Linked DNA regions of Arabidopsis thaliana. The protein of the gene in region 1 purifies or fractionates together with the protein of each later gene. This does not show direct contact. Each region holds a gene or a part of one and is shown on either strand. Other genes may lie near its edges. The genes, in order: AT2G40290, CAND1, BTF3 and AT1G73230.

Region 1 (4,719 bases):
GAAGAGGAAGAAGGTGATGGCGATGAGGAGAGTGGAGAGGAGTAAAACGACGACGTGTTGTACTGATATCGCCATTGGAGACGAAGATCATTAGAGATCAGTGTTACGAGACGCGTTTCAGGTAAGAGGAAGAGGAAAGTGTGAGCTGAGCTGAGCTCCAAAAGTCGCAACTTTCACATTTCGATTTTGCAGAGAGAGCTTAAGTAATTTTTAATGCGCCGACAGATTAAAAAAGGATTTGTGTCCGAAAGAATTTTTCTTTTCTGATTAGTAGTATAAGACAAGATGTTTGATCTTGTAATAAATCATTTTAATTATGAATCAATTGCAAGTTAACCATTTATGTATCAGACAGAGGATTTTTAAGAATTTCATTTTTGGTAAATTTTCTCAATAGAAGATCGCAGTAGTAATTGATGAATATCTGCATCTTCGGAGACATCAGATCTGAATTAAATCTACACACCTATCATTGCCAGATCCAATCAACCTACTTTCCTGAGGTTTAAACTCAAAAGTATGATCATATTGAGCCAAAGTTTTCCTAAGATAATAATGAGTCATGTGGTGGAGCAACATATTCTTGAGCAGTAGTAACATATGCAAAGAATCAAATCTTTTATAAAACCATGAATGTATGATTGATATGTAACCACCCCCTATGGGTAAAATAAAATGCCTCAGAGTCATCAAAAAGCACATAAATCCTCTCGGAGGTTTTTCTACTGCCTTGTCAAAGCTTAAACCAAAATACTGGGACTGTTGAGATTGGGTAGATTTAATAGAAAGAAAAATCCGGCAATCTTACTCGATGATTCCGGCACCTGCATCGAGATCCACTTCGCCCATACCAGTGTCCTCTTCTTCGTCTCCGCTATCTTCATCGCCGCTCATTTCTTCATTGTCAAGACGTAGCTTAGCCATGTGTTCTGTCAGCATCTTTTCATCACGTTCACTCACCTATATTTGACATAGATTATAAACATTAATAGGCGGTTGTGAACCAAATTAAACAAAACACAAAAGAAAAGCTCGTTCTTGTGACATGCAACTCGAGACGGTTCATCACTTAAAAAAAACTAATTTAAGATACTCACAGCTCTAGCCCCCTCCTTAACGACAAGCTTGCCTTTGTGTGTCTCAATTGTCTCAGTGCATGCTGCTATGGCTTTGTTTAGAATTTCAATCCCTTGTTCCTGTTTAATATTTGAGAAATTGAGAAGATAAAATGGGACAAAACATAGCATTTACACATTTATGGTTTAAGTGAAGACAAATCCGCAGAGCTACATAATTGGCAAACAAAGTTGCAATGTCCAGTGTTTTCTTAAGCATTTACTTTCCTTGCAACTACAGTGTTTTCAAAATTCTGGCAAGTAGCTTTAGTGGATATACAATCTAAACAGAGATCATAAACCTCTTAAAGATAAGTAGGGGAGGATTTCTATAATATACCAATTACCAAACCAAGTAAATCATAGTGCAAGATAGAAGATTGCCTAACCTTGTCAAGTGTCTGAGTAGTAAGGACATACAGAGGTGGAGCAACCAATTTAATCTTAACAGGACAGTCTTCATTTCCAGCGGCTTCAGCATTTTTCATAGCCTCCTGAAATTACAAGCATGGGTGAGAAAATCAAATGAAATCATAATGTATTCATTTCACAAGTTAAAGATAATCTAATAAGAGATACGACCTTAATGTGAACAACTCCATCAAACTGAAAACACTTCAATTCGATATCAGCCCGGATTTTCATTGGTTGTGGTGTCATTCTCCTCCTAATGTTCTTCACAAGTGCATCTTTCACTTCTTCCGTAACAGCAGGTACAACCTTAGTCACCTACAAACAGAAAACTTGTAAGATTAGCACCAAATAAAGTTAGTACTAACCGCTAAAACAATGCCAGAGAACAAAGTATATACCTCTTGCCCATCAGGCCCAACTTCTTTGATCTCACGGGTGAGAGGACCCAACACTGAATCAGGATCCGTCACTAAGATCTTGAAAGCCTGAACAAAAGAAAATTATATATGAGAACTAAATAACCATAGAGATACACAATGAATCTCCAATTCACAAAATTCTTACCTCAAAAGCATGACCATGTCGTCGATACAAAGGCCAACCAATGTTCACATACAAGTCCTGCAACATGAAAGCTCAAATCAATTTCTATTCAACGATCACATCACTAAGCTATGATATTTGATAATATCTCTAACAAGCAAAATCCAAATCCAGTAGATAATCCCAGATTTGAACTACGATATTTTACCTCCAAATCAATTGAAAGAGTCTCAGCAACATGGCGCATGATAGAATGAACAAGTTTGCTCTTGTTATACCTCTCTTCACAAGTCTGAATATCTTCCTCGCTGACTCTACGTTTGCTCAGATCAATGTAACCTTTCTCTTTGTCAACACGGAGAACCATGACAGGCTCAATTCTTCCGACCTTAATCAAACTGCTAACACTTCGGATCCGACGACGAGAGAGCTCGGAGAAAAGGATCATGCCTTCGATGTTGTTGTACTCGAGGAGAGAAACATAAGCTCCCATATCGGCAATGTTCTTCACCTGGATCATCACCGCCATATCCACCTCTGGGTATTTCGCCTCGTACATCCGACACTCGAGATTCGGTGTTTGACTCGCCATGATTGGTAGATTTCGATACTGCTTGAGCTCACGCGAATTCACTCTTCGTTGAATCGGGTAAAGCTACGAGGCGGAGACACTTAGGGTTTTAGACTTTTTAGGCGACGGAGCAAATCAGACAGGTTTCTAGAGATAAGAAATGAGCAAGGAACACAAACGGAAAATGAGTCGACTTGCGTCAAAGATGCCAAGTTAAACGGCACCGTGTCAGTTAAACAATTAGGTTTTAATTGGGCCACAAGATAGTTTCAAGGGGTTAGGGGTTAAAAGCCTATTCGGGTTTCAGACATTTTCGGCCCAACTTCTTTCACAACGTAAGTTTGGATTGATTTCCTTTGCTTATTCATGAATTGCGTTTAAACCGGAGCAAACTAAACTAGAGCTCGAATCCACATTTGGCAGTCCAAAAACATTCTGACCGAACCGATGTAGAATCGATCACCAGGTGGGTTTGATGAACCTTATACCAGAATATAAAGTTATGTGATCATGTCTTTTGTCTCTTACAGAAAAAGAAGTCTACTACCTCACAAAATCGTAAAAGCTAAAGAACTAAACATAAAGTAGACACATATAGAAACACAGTAGACACAAGAGTCCCTCGAAGCTGCTTACCCTTCCAGAAGCATCTGATTGAAATGCCATGTTCCTGAAATTACCCACAAGCATTCAAAGACATATATTAAAACCAAGTTTGAGGCACGACGTAGGATGAATAAGTGGATTTTCTTGTTCTTTTATAAATTTATAGATTAGAACAAAATGTGAGAGATTATTTATGTACCGTGTCCTTTGCCAACTCGTCGCAGTTGAGCCACATATTCTGAGATCAACTTGATTGCTTCCACCTGAGAAATGTTTTATTTTATCAAAAATTCCTATTAGATTCTCTTTGATAGCTTATATACAACAGTAGCTCTTTGCCACTAACATAGAACACCAAATAAATTACCTGCTCTGTCAGAAACTCGCTCTCAATAAAATCTGCCAAGTGGACATCATTGTTCTTCGAAGCAACCTGTTGAAGCAAAGCATTACCAAACTGAGAACAGTTCTTGCCGAGTGAAGATTAGATTTACTTCTCAAATACGGATTTGACATATATAGTATGAACTCAAGAAGAGATGGTCTTTACACTGTGAAGGTTTAAGAGCTTCTCATTAACTAGTTTCTCCAGTGACAGAGCAAGCTCCATGCCTGCAACAACAAATCACAGAATTGTATGTTAAAATTCCTATATCCATTGAGACTTGAATCTCCATATGAGAGATACATTTTCATAATACTTAAGAACTCAGATAAAATTCAGTCTTTGCTAGTGAAAATATGCAATCTCTTCAAAAGCTTAACAAAATCATTGGTGTCAATATCTAATTTCTTAGAATGTGGCAGACATATGAAACTAAAGAAGTTTTTTCACTTGGGATTATTAGTGTTAGCATTTTTGAGCTTACCATAAAGAGCATCTCCTTTGTCAACATGTTCAAACTCTGAAAGAGGCATTACAATGGACTGTAACTTAACCCTCCCACCACGTTTGTTCTGCAATTCATGGAAAAAAACTAAAACATGTTAGAACCAAATTAGCTCCAATAAGGTAAACAAATGGAAATAACTTTCATAAGACCTGATACTCCATTAACTTCTCAGCATGCTCTCTTTCTTCCAAACTTGATTCCTTAAAGAACCTGATTCCATGAAACCAACAATTAACTATGGATAAACAAAAAAAATCCGAAAATATCAACACTCTTGAATAACCGGAGACTCACTTGGCAAGACCTTTGAGCGCGATGTTATCCCGATCAAAGTAAGCATACATAGCGTGATACACATACGAGACATTGTATTCCACACTGCAACCAAAATCCATTGAAGAATTTCAAATTCACAGGTTCATAAACAATAAGCAGAATCAACATGAGGTTCCAAGTTACCAAATCTTATAGCCAATCAACCAGATTATAATACCGAATCTAAGAGACTGGGGTGAGAAAGAATAACCTACTTGATCTGCTCGTTAATGGCGGCTTCGCACTCGTCTGAGTACTTTTG
Region 2 (4,802 bases), about 16 Mb from region 1:
TATTTAATCAAACACAGGTAAAAGAATGAAAAACTCTTGTGTAAGGGAATCTTGTACACTCCCGTCATGAAAGATAATACGCTTGATCATTTAAAAAAGATATACCTCTTGATATACTTTAGTGAGCATCTCAGAACGCGAAACGATTAATCCTGCTAGGCATTTGGCCGCTGCTCTCCTAACTTTCCAGCTGGCATCTTCATCATCTGTGTACTCATTTGCACTCTCGCTGTGAGAAAGAAAGACTTATTTCAGTGAGATAATGGTGCACCGTAAGGAGCTAGGCTACTGTTCCAATGAATAAATCAGAACTTACTCATCTTCTTCATCTTCAAGAGTCTCATTATCAGTATCTTCCTCCATATTGTCCGTAAAATTCGGGTCATAACTAATATATTCTAAAGTAAGATTTAAAATTTCATCACAATATGGTGAGATGTCCCTGGGACATCGTAGCAAGAAACTTTCAAGTGCCTGCAGTCAAATTTCAGAACAGACATGTTATCGTCTACATTGTTCATACCAATTTTATTGAACCTAAGATTAGAATTCCAATTTAATAGCATAGGAAAGAAAAGAGACTACAAGCACGCCTAAGTAATTGTCTGATTACAAAAATTAGATGAGAAAACAAAAAATGCAAGCGTAGTGAGAAAGTAGGAACATTAGGGAATCTTGCACGATACCTGTAAGCTATACTCGCGAAGCTCCTCGTCATTTTCTGAAGCGCTAGTGCAGTAATTGATTAATACTGGCACAGTGTTACCTAGATGAGTGCCAAACCGGTAACCAACAGCACGGCTGAAACAAAAACGCATTAAATAGCATTACAACCATGGCAAGCCTAGTCGTAGATAACCATTCATCCCAATCAATAAATAGGTAGCACAAGTACAACTAACCGAAGCATACTACAACACTACAGTAACGTATGGTAAGAAGTTAAAGATATATAACAAGCCGATAAGAAGGAAGATAGGAAGTACCATAAAGCTCCAATCATTTGAATATTGGTACGTGTAATCTCCGATTTTGCATTCCTGTTACTTAGATTTTTCACAACTTCAACAGTCGCCTTCGCGAGCAAATCATCAGACAGACTGGAAGCAAGAGAAGCTGACACCACACAAAATTTTGAACTTAGAAGAGGCTATATACCATCGAATTAAGAGTTCTATATACGACTAGGAAAAAAATGACATTGAATATATCATTTGAACTAGCATCGGTTTCACAAGAATTGACGCAAACAGCTGAAAACCATATTTCTAATATAGATAAGGAAAGCTACCACTCAAGTCTCGGCAGATTAAAGTTGGTTTCAAATTAGCTAAATATTGACATTAGTACCGACAGTACCCAGCAATCATATTGACTCAATTTTATGAACTTACCAATGCATGTAACAGTCTTCTTCCTGACTGTGGCTTGGTTACAGCCCAATTGCAATAACAATGTATTCAATAGCTTCTCGTGATCATCCGTCATTAAACTTCCATATTTTTGAACAACATCACACATGATCTCAAGACATTCACACTTGATCCCTGAGCTCATTCCCTTCAGCAGTAAATACGCAGAAAATTAGTTACTTGTAAAATAAGATGATAGAACCTTAGAGTAGACAAATAATTATATGCATATACTGTGCTCTGGTCTACTAAGAGTTTTTCAGACAGAGTTCTTTAACTGTATTAGATCCAATAAAACTTAAAACGTAAAATCAACTAATTTTCCAATAGATGTCAATCAATATGATTTTGATGGGATCCGAAATTGTCTAGGACGACCCTAAGCACTGTCGCATATGCAATCGAAATAATAAGGAATAGACCTCCCAACAACTAACCTGGCCACTTATTCCTCCTATCATTTGTGGTGTTAGAGTAACAAGAATAGATGGAGCAAGCGTAGGAGCAATTTGAGCGACAACAGTCCTGAGAGCTATGCTTGCGGTATCACGATGCTGGTCTTTCCCATGCAGCAGTTTATCACATAACTTGTTGGTCATTTCAACAATTCGTTCTTCTCCAACCTTCTTCACCAATGGAGCAAGACTGGAACAAAATCATAACATCAAAGGTCGACGATAGATCAGCTAAATGTAAAAGTATAACATCAGCTTAGGTCATAAGTTGCTAAGAGCAGAAAGCTAACCATTTAACAGCCAATCCAGAAACATCACCAGCCACATCATCGAGCTGTTGCAATATGATACTCGACAATCTCACCTCCAAGTCCAGGTCGATTTTAAAGGAATCCTTATTCAACTCATTAAGCAAATCAGAGGTTGCCATGTATCTGTAATCTTTATCTTTACCCGTCATCTGAAACTATAGTAAATACAGCAATGAGAAAAGGTGACTATACTCAAAAACAAAATTAAGCTTAATTAGAAACAGATGATGAAAAGACCTTTTCGAGTATCCCAGAAACTTGTAAGTTCGCCATATTGGCCCGACCTTCTCAATTCACTCCTTCCAACTGCAATCAAACAAGGATCTCAAAATTCATTACTTAGTAAAAAGAGAATCAACCATGCGTTGAACTAAAACGCTTAGTCAGAGCAATGTCACTCTATCAAGCTCTCCACAGAGGTTAAAACATCAGAAACAAAGTCAGAAGTGTAAAGAAGAAGCATCGAAGATGGATTAATTATCGCCGGTAACAAAACCTAATTAATATCCCTTAGAAAACTTTTGATTCATCGAAGATCACAAAGAAGAAGTTCGGTTTGATAAATCAAAGTATCGTCGCCACCAAAACCCTAAGACTACGACTACGAAGACGAAAAGAGTTAACGCTAGACATCATCACACTTTATCGATCAAAAAGCAAAAAAGAGGTAACCCTAAGTAACCTGAGAAGATGAAATCGACGGAGGTAACGCCGGAGACGGAGTAGAACGCCGAGAGTTCCGATTTGGTGGTGGTGGAAGTTGCGGAGAGGAGAGAGCTCTGAGGAAAGTAAAAAAAGATGGAGGAGATACTGTAAATTTCCGTACTCGTGAAAGCTTGATTTTTAGCCCTTCTCTCTTCTTAAGGAGGAAGTTAACTTTCTTCTAAATGGGCCTGTGTAGGATTAATTGGGCCTGACTTGGTGCGATTTGAGTCGGTTAATGGGTAGCGTTTATTTCATGCTGTACATTGTTGGACTTGATTAGTCGGTTAATACTAAATGGGTTTGGCCCAATTACTTTGTTTTCAGTCTGAGCCCAAGCATGGGTTTCTTTGTTTGATCCAAGTAGTTCTTTTTTTGTTTGCTTTTTTTGTGTCAGGGACATGCTATGCGATTGCGACCAACCAACTAAATAGTGTTAGCCATTGGTTCATCGACAATTTATGGTCAATATTTTTGAACGATTAGCAAGTAAAAAATTGTATCACTGAAAGTTTTCAACCTAGGCCAAGTATATGTGGTTTAGTGGTAGGGGAAGCTTTGGGAAGGATGAAACTCTTAGACCCGAGTTCGATTCTCCTTGAAAGTTGGTAAGTGTATAAGTTGGGTCTTGGTTTAATTGGTTTACTTGGTAATTAGAAATGTAGGCGGCCGCCTGACTACCCCCTGGCATTAGTCAGAAAGCATTTCAAACTCGTGACAGACAGACAGTATGGTGGTTTTTCGGGAAGAAGTCCACTCGAAAACATTTCGGTGTGTTTTTACTAGGGCTAACCAGATCAGCCGATAAGGTTTATAAGAAAAAAAAAAAATTGAATCAAAATCATTTGTTAAATGTTCCCGACCCAACGACTACCAAATAAACATGATTTCATTGTCGATAGTCATCGCTAACGATTATAAAGTTAACAAAATATAACTGATTGTCATTGTTGCTAACGACTAAAAAAAACTAAAACCGTAAAATATGGTATAGATGTGAGATTTTTTGTCGAAATTAGACTTCCTTTATTTTGAACTAGAACTTCGAAATTCAAATTATTAGATACTTTTGTCTAAGTAGTTTCTTCGTCATCTGTTTCTTCCACTTCCACGTGTGTAAATTTTTCGTGGGTTTCAGGATTAAGTCTTCCTTATGCTATTTCCTTAGTCTTAGTTGTTGACAAATATGTGCCCGTAGAATCTTCATACTTTCGAATGACAAATTCATCGCCAGACTCACGGTCACGCAAGAATGGAAGGTTAGACACCTCAGGCACATTCAAGTGTTGAAGCTCTTCAATTACTTGATTATAGACATACTAATATTTGAAAAGCAACAAAATTATGAATTTTTTCAGATGAGAAGTTAGGTCAGTGCTGTCCTCTAGTAGTTCCTCTATTACCTGAAAGAAAATGAATAACACACATCATGTCATCATACATGCAAATACAAAATCTAAATGTATAGTATACTACTATTTTGAACTAAACCAAGTAAAAAGTACCTCTCTACCACGTATAGTTTTAGTACCAATTATTTCATATGCTCTTTCGGATCCCTCCGTTAATGGCCATTTAAAATAGTCACAATCGCAAAGAATGCACATCTCCAGAAAATTATCGTCTGTGAATTCTGAAAAATCGTAAGATTTTGCTTCTTCTTTAGTTTCTTTTTCGTTGTCTTTATTTTTCTTGCTACTATGAAACCGCTTCAATAAGTCTATCATTTCGAGTTCAAGCAATTCAAAGTCTTTACTGGCGAAAATAATTTGTGATCACACAAAAGTTTAAAGTGGTAGTAAAAATTAATGTTATGTCTACATGAGAAAAACCTTTAAAATAATAATAATTGATAAGTGTATTAAAGAACTTACTCTTCAACATCTAAATGGTATGAGGTCAGTGTTAATAGTGAGAACCGC
Region 3 (3,963 bases), on another chromosome or scaffold:
GAACTCCTCGTCTGTTTTCCAATCCATCTCTTGCTGCTTCGACTTCTTTTCCTCCTCTTCTTCACTGCTCTCTGGAGAAGGCGGCGCATTATTGTTATCGTGGTCTTCTTTTTGCTCCTCCGCTAACGCCACCGGAGAAGGAGCTTCGTTCACAGGTTCACGAACGCGATCATCTTCCGCTGAACATCTCAAAGAATGTCTGCTTCTCGTTGTCTGATTCACAGAAGCTTTCCCAAAGTTCGAAAATTCTGCTCTGTCAAAGCGACGAAGATGCAAACTGTGACAGGATTTAAGAGTTAAGGAAGATGATGGAGTAGAAACAAAGAGAGAAGCCATGGTTTACGAAAACTCAGAAAGATTGAGATTTGACGACGAATAGACATGTCTCTGAGAGAGAATTTGTAGAGAAAGTGATGAAATGTCTGGAAAGTTTGAGAAGAAACTCATACAGTACAGGTGGAATGGTTTTTATGCAACAAGACAATGTGTCACATCAAAATCTTCTAATCCACATAGTGAAGAGGAAGAAGAAGACGAGGACCTGATTTGCTGTCAAAGAATCAATAAGACATCAAATAATTGGATAAAAACCTTAAGTCATTAGATGGAAAACAAGATTCTGGTCGGAAACTACAAAAAGGATCGAGCGAACAAACATATTATAAAGATATGTAAAAATCAAAGTGCGGTTTTTTTTTGGATGTGGTCTCGCTCTTTTCTCTCTAAGAAGAAGCAGCAGCAGCTGGTGCTTTCTCTTCAGCAGCAGTTTCGAATGTCTCTCCAACAAGCTCTGGGACATCGTCATCATCCTCTTCTTGTATGGTTGCTGAGGCGGCATTACCTTCACCAGAAGCCTGTTTCTGGAACTGTTCTGCTAGCTTCTTCAGGTTGTCCATGTTGTCTGGTCCTGAAAGAGATCAAAGTAACATAAAGTTAGAGACCTTAGGATCGATGAAGAACATTTAAGAGCTGTACAGTTACATGGTACACACCAAGTTGGCTGATGATCTGAGGAAGGATATCTTGCAATTCTGCAGGAAGCAACACGTTTACATTAATCAGAGAAGATGAAATGAAGAAGAAACAAGAAAGTAGAGATTAAGAGATATTATGAGATGCAATACTTTTGGTCTGAGGAGAACCGCTAACAACCCATGTGTTTGCAGCAATTGAAGCTTGAACTGTAGTAACATTCAAAGGAGGAACAATGATCAGTAACATGAAAAAAAGGTTCTGATGTATAGATAAAAAATGGTTAAAAATGACTTACCCTTAGGGTTGATGAACTGAATAACAACATCATCCTTAAAGATGTTAACTTCTTCAATAGCGGGAATGGAGTTAACTCCAATTCTCTTAAGAGTGCTTTGAAGCCTCTTGTCATCAGTTGTATTGGTCTTGTGCACAGCCTTCTTCTTTCTGCAAGTAAAAATCGAATGGTTTCATAACACAAATCATAGTAAATGCTAAGTATTGAACAATGAAATTGGTTGAATAAAACTCTATACCTTCTGACAGTACCCTTTCCGCCAGTGCGGACGGTATTAGCCATCTTCATCAACTTCTCCCTATTCATCTGTGTATAAACCATAATAAGAAGCAAAATCCATCAATCCCCAAATCACTTCCAAAAGAATCAATGAACACATTAACTGCTAATAATACATTCACAAAAACTTCTTATTATACAAGAAACTAGTGAGAAGAAAGTAAGCGCGAACAGATTTAAACTCAGATGCGTATGAAGACACGGTGATGTGACTAGTAGTTTTAACCTAAATTTAATCATTTTCAATCGATTAGGTATACCAAATCCCCCAATCAAACACACAGAGAAGTTGAAAACCCAGTAAATTCCCAAACACCGACAAAAACTAATCCTATCTACAGAAAGAAGCGAAATGAATCAAGAAAGAAAGATATCTGACATTTTGCAAAATCGGGGATTAGAGAAACCCTAGAACCGGAGAGATAAAACACTAATAGAAAGGAAAATTACAGTGATAATGAATTTACCTTGAGATTAGGGTTCTTCCTTGTTCGAAGAGTGTGAGGAGATAAGAAAATGAAACAAAAAGAAAAGAAACAGAGAGAGGAGAGACGCGGGCGGCGCAGGGTTTTGCCCTTTAACTATATGCTATTCGGAGCCAACCTCGTCTCTTAATCTAACGGTGGATATCAGATATTCCATAAAGAAATCTCCATCACTACCGTTGGATGCTCGATGATAATATTGGCCCATAAGGCCCAAAACTAAACTGGGCCAATAATTATTTACTGGGCTCTTTTGTGCCGTAATCAATCACCAGTATTAGCGCGTAGCAAACCATAATCTTTTGGTTACCAGAATTTCAAAATCCACAAATTTATCTAAATGAGTTTATCAATGAACAGACTTGTTTAGTTGACTAAAATTTAGAGAAGAAAGCTATTCGATTATTGATAATCTCAACAACAATGGTACATTTATTACAAAGTAAGTTTGCTTAACTTGAACTGTATGAAATCCATGAATACAAAAATTACATAAAAGAGATAGAGAGATCTGTATAGAACCAAAAATCAAACGCATAAACATTCACGTGTAAAGAGAATGAATATTGCTTTGTGTTTTGGACCTTGTTTTTTTTACTGCTTCTTCTGCACAACATTTTCCAAATACCATTCATAAGTTTGGGAGAGGCCATCTTTAAGCGAAATCTTCGGTGTCCATCCCAAAGACGCAAGCTTCGAGCTATCCATCAGTTTCCTTGGTGTCCCGTCTGGTTTTGTGGTATCCCAAACAAGCTTTCCTTTAAACCCAACAACTTCTTTCACCAACTCAGCCAATTCTTTGATCGTCACTTCAACACCACTTCCTACATTCACATGCTCAAATCCGCTGTACTGATCCATCAAGAAAACACAAGCATCAGCCAAATCATCGACATGTAAAAACTCCCTCAACGGGCTTCCACTTCCCCAAACCACAACTTCGTCAGCATTATTGGCTTTGGCTTCATGAAACCTCCTCATGAGAGCAGGCAGCACATGGGAATTCTCCGGGTGGAAATTATCATTCTGACCATACAGATTCGTGGGCATACCGGAGATAGCATCCCACTGATGCTGAAGCCGGTAAGCTTGACACATCTTAATACCCGCGATCTTGGCGATCGCATACCATTCGTTTGTCGGTTCGAGCGGACCGGTAAGAAGCGCAGATTCGGGAATCGGCTGAGGAGCAAATTTGGGGTAAATGCAAGATGAACCAAGGAAGAGGAGTTTCTTCACACCGTGTGTATAAGCAGAGTGGATCACATTGGTCTGGATTTGGAGATTGACCCCAATGAAATCAGCTGGGTATGTGTTGTTAGCATGAATCCCACCGACTTTAGCAGCAGCTAGGATGACATAAACTGGTTTCTCTGTAGCAAAGAAAGATTCAACATCTGATTGGCTAGTGAGATCAAGCTCTGAATGGGTTCGAAGGACCAAATTGGTGAAACCCTGATCCTGGAGCTTGCGGACAATGGCAGATCCAACCAATCCCCTATGTCCAGCGACAAAGATCTTGGCGGATTTCTCTAACATAAACGAACCTGATTTCATCTCTGCACAGAATTACGAGGGATCAAAGACCTAGGGTTCCAAAATTTCCACGAAAATCTAAATTCAATTCCACAAAACTCCGTATATAGACATGAAACATTATATTCAGACATAAAATAGAGAGATGGACGTACCGGATCCTGTGTTGTCCGCCATTGTTTAGTCAATTAGTTCTACAAGACGATGAGCGATTGAGAATGGGGATTTTGACTTATAGATATCAGTTTTCGAAGTCAACGACAGAAGCTTAGATTTGTAGGTAAAGGTTAAATTCCTTGGAGAATGTAATGTGGAGGAGATCTGAATATCCGCCGGCGATCTGAATCGGTGTCGGATATTTTGTTATTCAGTTTATGGATCCTGGCCCATGGG
Region 4 (3,798 bases), on another chromosome or scaffold:
TCGATATGTTTACTTTTCTTGAATAACTTAACTCTATTCCTACCTAAACAACTTTAAGTATTCATCGGTGAGTTTGCTCTGTGTATTACTTGTTACATCCATAAACTTCAGCTACTTTTCCAGGTTCTAGATACAAAAGAAGTTAGTTATAATTGTTGTTTTCATATCCAGGTTCTGCACACAAAACGGTTCAGCTTTGCTCCTCCAAAAGGATCTGCTGCAGCAGAAACGAATCCAAGCGAGCCTCTTCTTGCTGCTTTAGAAGGGAGCGCTCCAGGTTCCCTCGAGCAGTCTCTTGCATACCTTGATCTCTACATGGTGTCTCAGAATAATGTTGACACATGGCGTCGTGCTGCCTTCTTTGAGGAGTCCACCGAGACGTACAAAAGAGTAATTACTCTATGCTTGAGGCCTTTGGAAGAGCTTGCCTCCAAGTTAGCTTCTGGGCTAGACCACACCTTTACTGAAAAAGGTTATCAGACACCACTCCAGCCACCAACCGAGTCCTTTATTGATCCAAAATTCGGCGAATCACTTAAGTCTTTCCAGGTAAAACGAAATTCAAATTTTGATCCCTTTTCTATGTGATAATTTCTTCATGTAGCTGTAACCAAAATCTGTTTGCTCTGTATCCGATATTTGCAGCTATATGCATGGTGTGCTCAAACATCTGCATCCCTGACTTCAATCTCTCACAAGGAAGACAGGCTCGGAGTAGCTCAACTGTCTGGTGGAAACGCTGATGTTGTCTCAACACTTCTATCGCTTTTGCTAGCTATCGAAACGTTTATGGGGAAGAAGACTAATCTTCAATCACCTCAACAACTGATGGGACCTGCTAGTATCAAATGGGCGACCTCGAGTATGGTCAGAAAAGACGTTAAACCCATCAAAAGGAGTATTGGCGCAATGTACGCCTACGCATATGCAGCGACAGATGTTTTGAGGATATCAGTATACCAGATTCTATCCACATTCCGCGATGAAATGCTCAACAGCGACAGAGCCGGACTTCTTGGTAGAGATTGGATTGGAAGCAAGAAACCACCTTTTGGAACAAACGACATGCTCCTACAGAAGCTTAAGCTCTTCCTCGAGTTCCAAGCTTGATGGAAGATTAAAGAGGTACAATTCCTCGATTAAATGTGGTAACAAGTGTCATCATGATTCAAGAGCTGGATAGAAAAAGGAACTAGAGTATTTTGTTACATGATCAAAAAGCCTTGTATTGGAAAATGAAATCCCTCGATTTTGCAGAAATTTGGGATTAATCTTGTTTTTGGTAAACTAGAAAATTATATAAGAATCAAACTTTAATGGTAAGTTTTGCATCTTAAATCTTGATTACATAAATTTTGCAGAAGACTCTCTATATGCTTAACAGTAACTAACTCTTACGCAATTTACGAAGGAAACCAAAATTAGAATCTGAAATGGGCCAGAGATTTATTAGGGCCCATGGCGTGGCTAATAGTAATATCGAAGGAGAGATCGTGACCGTTGGATGATGATTAATATAATAATTGTATAGTGGTTAAAGCTTAGATTGGCTACATTACACATCGCATTTACTTAAAGGGCAAAACCCTCCAGCGCCGCTTGGATCTCTCTCTCCTCTGTTCTCTCTTCCCTTATCTTCTTCTTATACCCTTCGACCAACGAAGAACCCTAGAAATCGATTAACAAGGTAAGCCCACTTCAGCAAATCGTTCACTCATTTCATTTCCAAGATATTCGATTGTTTCCTTCTGATTTAGCACAAGGGTCAAGATCATTTTTTTGTTTTTGTTCTTCCTCGATTCATATGTTTTTTTTCATTGATTACTGTTTTTGATATTGGTTATCTTGTTTTCCAATAACTTGTTAGTTAGTTAAAAGTAATGTTTGTGTAATGGTGACCTAATCGATTGAAAAAATTGAAACTTTAGGTTAAGCTCATTGTAACAATACGAGCTTTGTTCTTCTCGCTGCACTGTTCTCATAATCCTAGTGTAATCAATTTGTGGGTTGTGACTATTGCTCAGTATTACTGTTTTTGTCATTGGCTAATTAATAACAGTATTAGTTATTGTATATGCTTAATTTATAAGATACATTTTGGGCTAAATGGGTTTAGCTTTGTGTGTTTGTTTTGAAAAACAGATGAATAGGGAAAAGTTGATGAAGATGGCTAACACTGTCCGCACTGGCGGAAAGGGGACAGTAAGAAGGTATACTCATTTATGTCTTTTCTGTGAATTTGTGTTTTTGCCATTTTTCATGTTATATTCTCTAAACATTTTGACTCTCATTTCAGAAAGAAGAAGGCTGTTCACAAGACCACTACAACCGATGACAAGAGGCTCCAGAGCACTCTTAAGAGAGTTGGAGTCAATTCCATTCCCGCCATTGAAGAAGTTAACATTTTTAAGGATGATGTAGTCATTCAGTTCATTAACCCTAAAGGTAAAACATCAAATTTTATGGCTTTATAAATCTCAGGTTTCGTATAAAATTTATTGTATTAATGGTTGTTGTGTCTCTGTTTTAATGTTGCTATCACAGTTCAAGCTTCAATTGCTGCTAACACATGGGTTGTGAGTGGTACACCACAGACGAAAAGTAAGTGTTTGTATCCTCATTGTTGATCCAATACTATTCTCGGTTTATGCATAGTCTAATCTCGGAATGTGAATTATCCTGCAGAATTGCAAGACATTCTTCCTCAGATTATCAGCCAACTTGGTATGCAGCATTAAGTGTTACACTCTGATGTCCTTTCCCAAACCAGTGGTCCCTTAAGTTAACATTTTGTTTTCTTGCTTTGATAATCGCAGGACCAGATAACTTGGACAACCTGAAGAAGCTAGCAGAGCAATTCCAGAAACAAGCTCCAGGTGCAGGTGATGTCCCAGCAACAATCCAAGAAGAGGACGATGATGATGATGTCCCAGATCTTGTAGTGGGAGAGACTTTCGAGACCCCTGCTACTGAAGAGGCTCCCAAAGCTGCTGCTTCTTAGAGGAGGAGGAAGAAGAAGGAGAAGAGCTCACCTGCAAAACCCATCATAAAAATGTTTGTCGCTCGACCTCTTCTGAGCACTGTCAGATTCTTGTTTTCTCTAATGCTTGCGAACAGAAAGACTTGGTTTTATTATCACTTGATGCTTTTTGGTCCGAACAGCAATTTTCCTTTTATTAAGGTTAGATCGCTTTTTGTTTACCACCTGTTCAAATGAGTACTACTATGTCCTGTCGCTTCATACACTTCTTGCAACACAGTCCTTTGTTTTGAGTCAACGATGTCTTGAGATGAACAATCAACAGTTTCGTACATTTAAATGGAAATTCCAAAGATTTTACATATTTCCAATTATTGGATGTAAACATTCCATAGAAATACAACACTCTGAATGCAATCAAGTAATCATGATTGTTTCGTTTTCGATCTCTTCCGCTTTCCCCTGTTGTGCTAGTGTTTCGTAAAGCGGAGCGTTTCGAGTTTCTCGTAGCCAGAGACTCACGATGCCGCTCAGCACTGATGCAACACCAAACACGATGAACGACATCATTGCGCTTTCCCTTCCTAACGCAACTAGCAGTGGTGCTGCAGACGCTCCTAGCATAAACGCTTGACGCAAAAGTGAGACAGCAGTGTTCCTAACGTTTGTTGGGAACAGCTCTACGCAGTAGACATATAGGACGTCATACGCTGTCGAGGATGCCATGAACCCAACCGCCTCAACTGCAAGTTGTAACCATTTTGCCACAGATATCGCACGGATCACGCGGTGGATCGAGAGAACCGCGCAGAGCAGAC

Evidence for each region.
Region 2: the proteins of AT2G40290 (region 1) and CAND1 fractionate together in Arabidopsis thaliana (co-fractionation; one large-scale study listed by BioGRID). This does not show direct contact.
Region 3: the proteins of AT2G40290 (region 1) and BTF3 fractionate together in Arabidopsis thaliana (co-fractionation; one large-scale study listed by BioGRID). This does not show direct contact.
Region 4: the proteins of AT2G40290 (region 1) and AT1G73230 fractionate together in Arabidopsis thaliana (co-fractionation; one large-scale study listed by BioGRID). This does not show direct contact.

Annotation. Positions count from the first base shown.
Region 1 is NC_003071.7:16,828,226-16,832,944, forward strand, and holds AT2G40290 (Eukaryotic translation initiation factor 2 subunit 1), read right to left. Parts: upstream 3,002-4,719; 5' UTR 2,665-3,001; coding exon 2,281-2,664; intron 2,151-2,280; coding exon 2,094-2,150; intron 2,015-2,093; coding exon 1,928-2,014; intron 1,845-1,927; coding exon 1,698-1,844; coding exon of another isoform or gene 1,647-1,697; exon of another isoform or gene 1,610-1,646; coding exon 1,505-1,609; intron 1,197-1,504; coding exon 1,098-1,196; exon of another isoform or gene 1,094-1,097; intron 961-1,093; coding exon 805-960; 3' UTR 541-804; downstream 1-540. Other genes in the region: AT2G40280 (S-adenosyl-L-methionine-dependent methyltransferases superfamily protein), read right to left, coding at 1-75; FER4 (ferritin 4), read right to left, coding at 3,276-3,313, 3,449-3,512, 3,617-3,682, 3,800-3,861, 4,119-4,206, 4,292-4,352, 4,437-4,520, 4,673-4,719. UniProt on the Arabidopsis thaliana protein: Functions in the early steps of protein synthesis by forming a ternary complex with GTP and initiator tRNA. This complex binds to a 40S ribosomal subunit, followed by mRNA binding to form a 43S pre-initiation complex.
Region 2 is NC_003071.7:687,994-692,795, reverse strand, and holds the start of CAND1 (cullin-associated and neddylation dissociated), read right to left. Parts: upstream 3,013-4,802; 5' UTR 2,861-3,012; intron 2,485-2,860; 5' UTR 2,452-2,484; coding exon 2,416-2,451; intron 2,334-2,415; coding exon 2,158-2,333; intron 2,058-2,157; coding exon 1,850-2,057; intron 1,561-1,849; coding exon 1,395-1,560; intron 1,117-1,394; coding exon 987-1,116; intron 802-986; coding exon 687-801; intron 475-686; coding exon 317-474; intron 230-316; coding exon 106-229; intron 1-105. Other genes in the region: AT2G02550 (PIN domain-like family protein), read right to left, coding at 4,032-4,199. UniProt on the Arabidopsis thaliana protein: Key assembly factor of SCF (SKP1-CUL1-F-box protein) E3 ubiquitin ligase complexes that promotes the exchange of the substrate-recognition F-box subunit in SCF complexes, thereby playing a key role in the cellular repertoire of SCF complexes.
Region 3 is NC_003070.9:6,151,850-6,155,812, forward strand, and holds BTF3 (basic transcription factor 3), read right to left. Parts: upstream 2,134-3,963; 5' UTR 2,017-2,133; intron 1,577-2,016; coding exon 1,509-1,576; intron 1,420-1,508; coding exon 1,271-1,419; intron 1,182-1,270; coding exon 1,125-1,181; intron 1,032-1,124; coding exon 993-1,031; intron 908-992; coding exon 723-907; 3' UTR 535-722; downstream 1-534. Other genes in the region: EGY3 (ethylene-dependent gravitropism-deficient and yellow-green-like 3), read right to left, coding at 1-336; GER2 (NAD(P)-binding Rossmann-fold superfamily protein), read right to left, coding at 2,629-3,593, 3,726-3,747.
Region 4 is NC_003070.9:27,539,709-27,543,506, reverse strand, and holds AT1G73230 (Nascent polypeptide-associated complex NAC), read left to right. Parts: upstream 1-1,554; 5' UTR 1,555-1,687; intron 1,688-2,142; coding exon 2,143-2,210; intron 2,211-2,296; coding exon 2,297-2,445; intron 2,446-2,544; coding exon 2,545-2,601; intron 2,602-2,685; coding exon 2,686-2,724; intron 2,725-2,816; coding exon 2,817-3,001; 3' UTR 3,002-3,279; downstream 3,280-3,798. Other genes in the region: AT1G73240 (nucleoporin protein Ndc1-Nup protein), read left to right, coding at 172-549, 646-1,110; OCT1 (organic cation/carnitine transporter1), read right to left, coding at 3,398-3,798.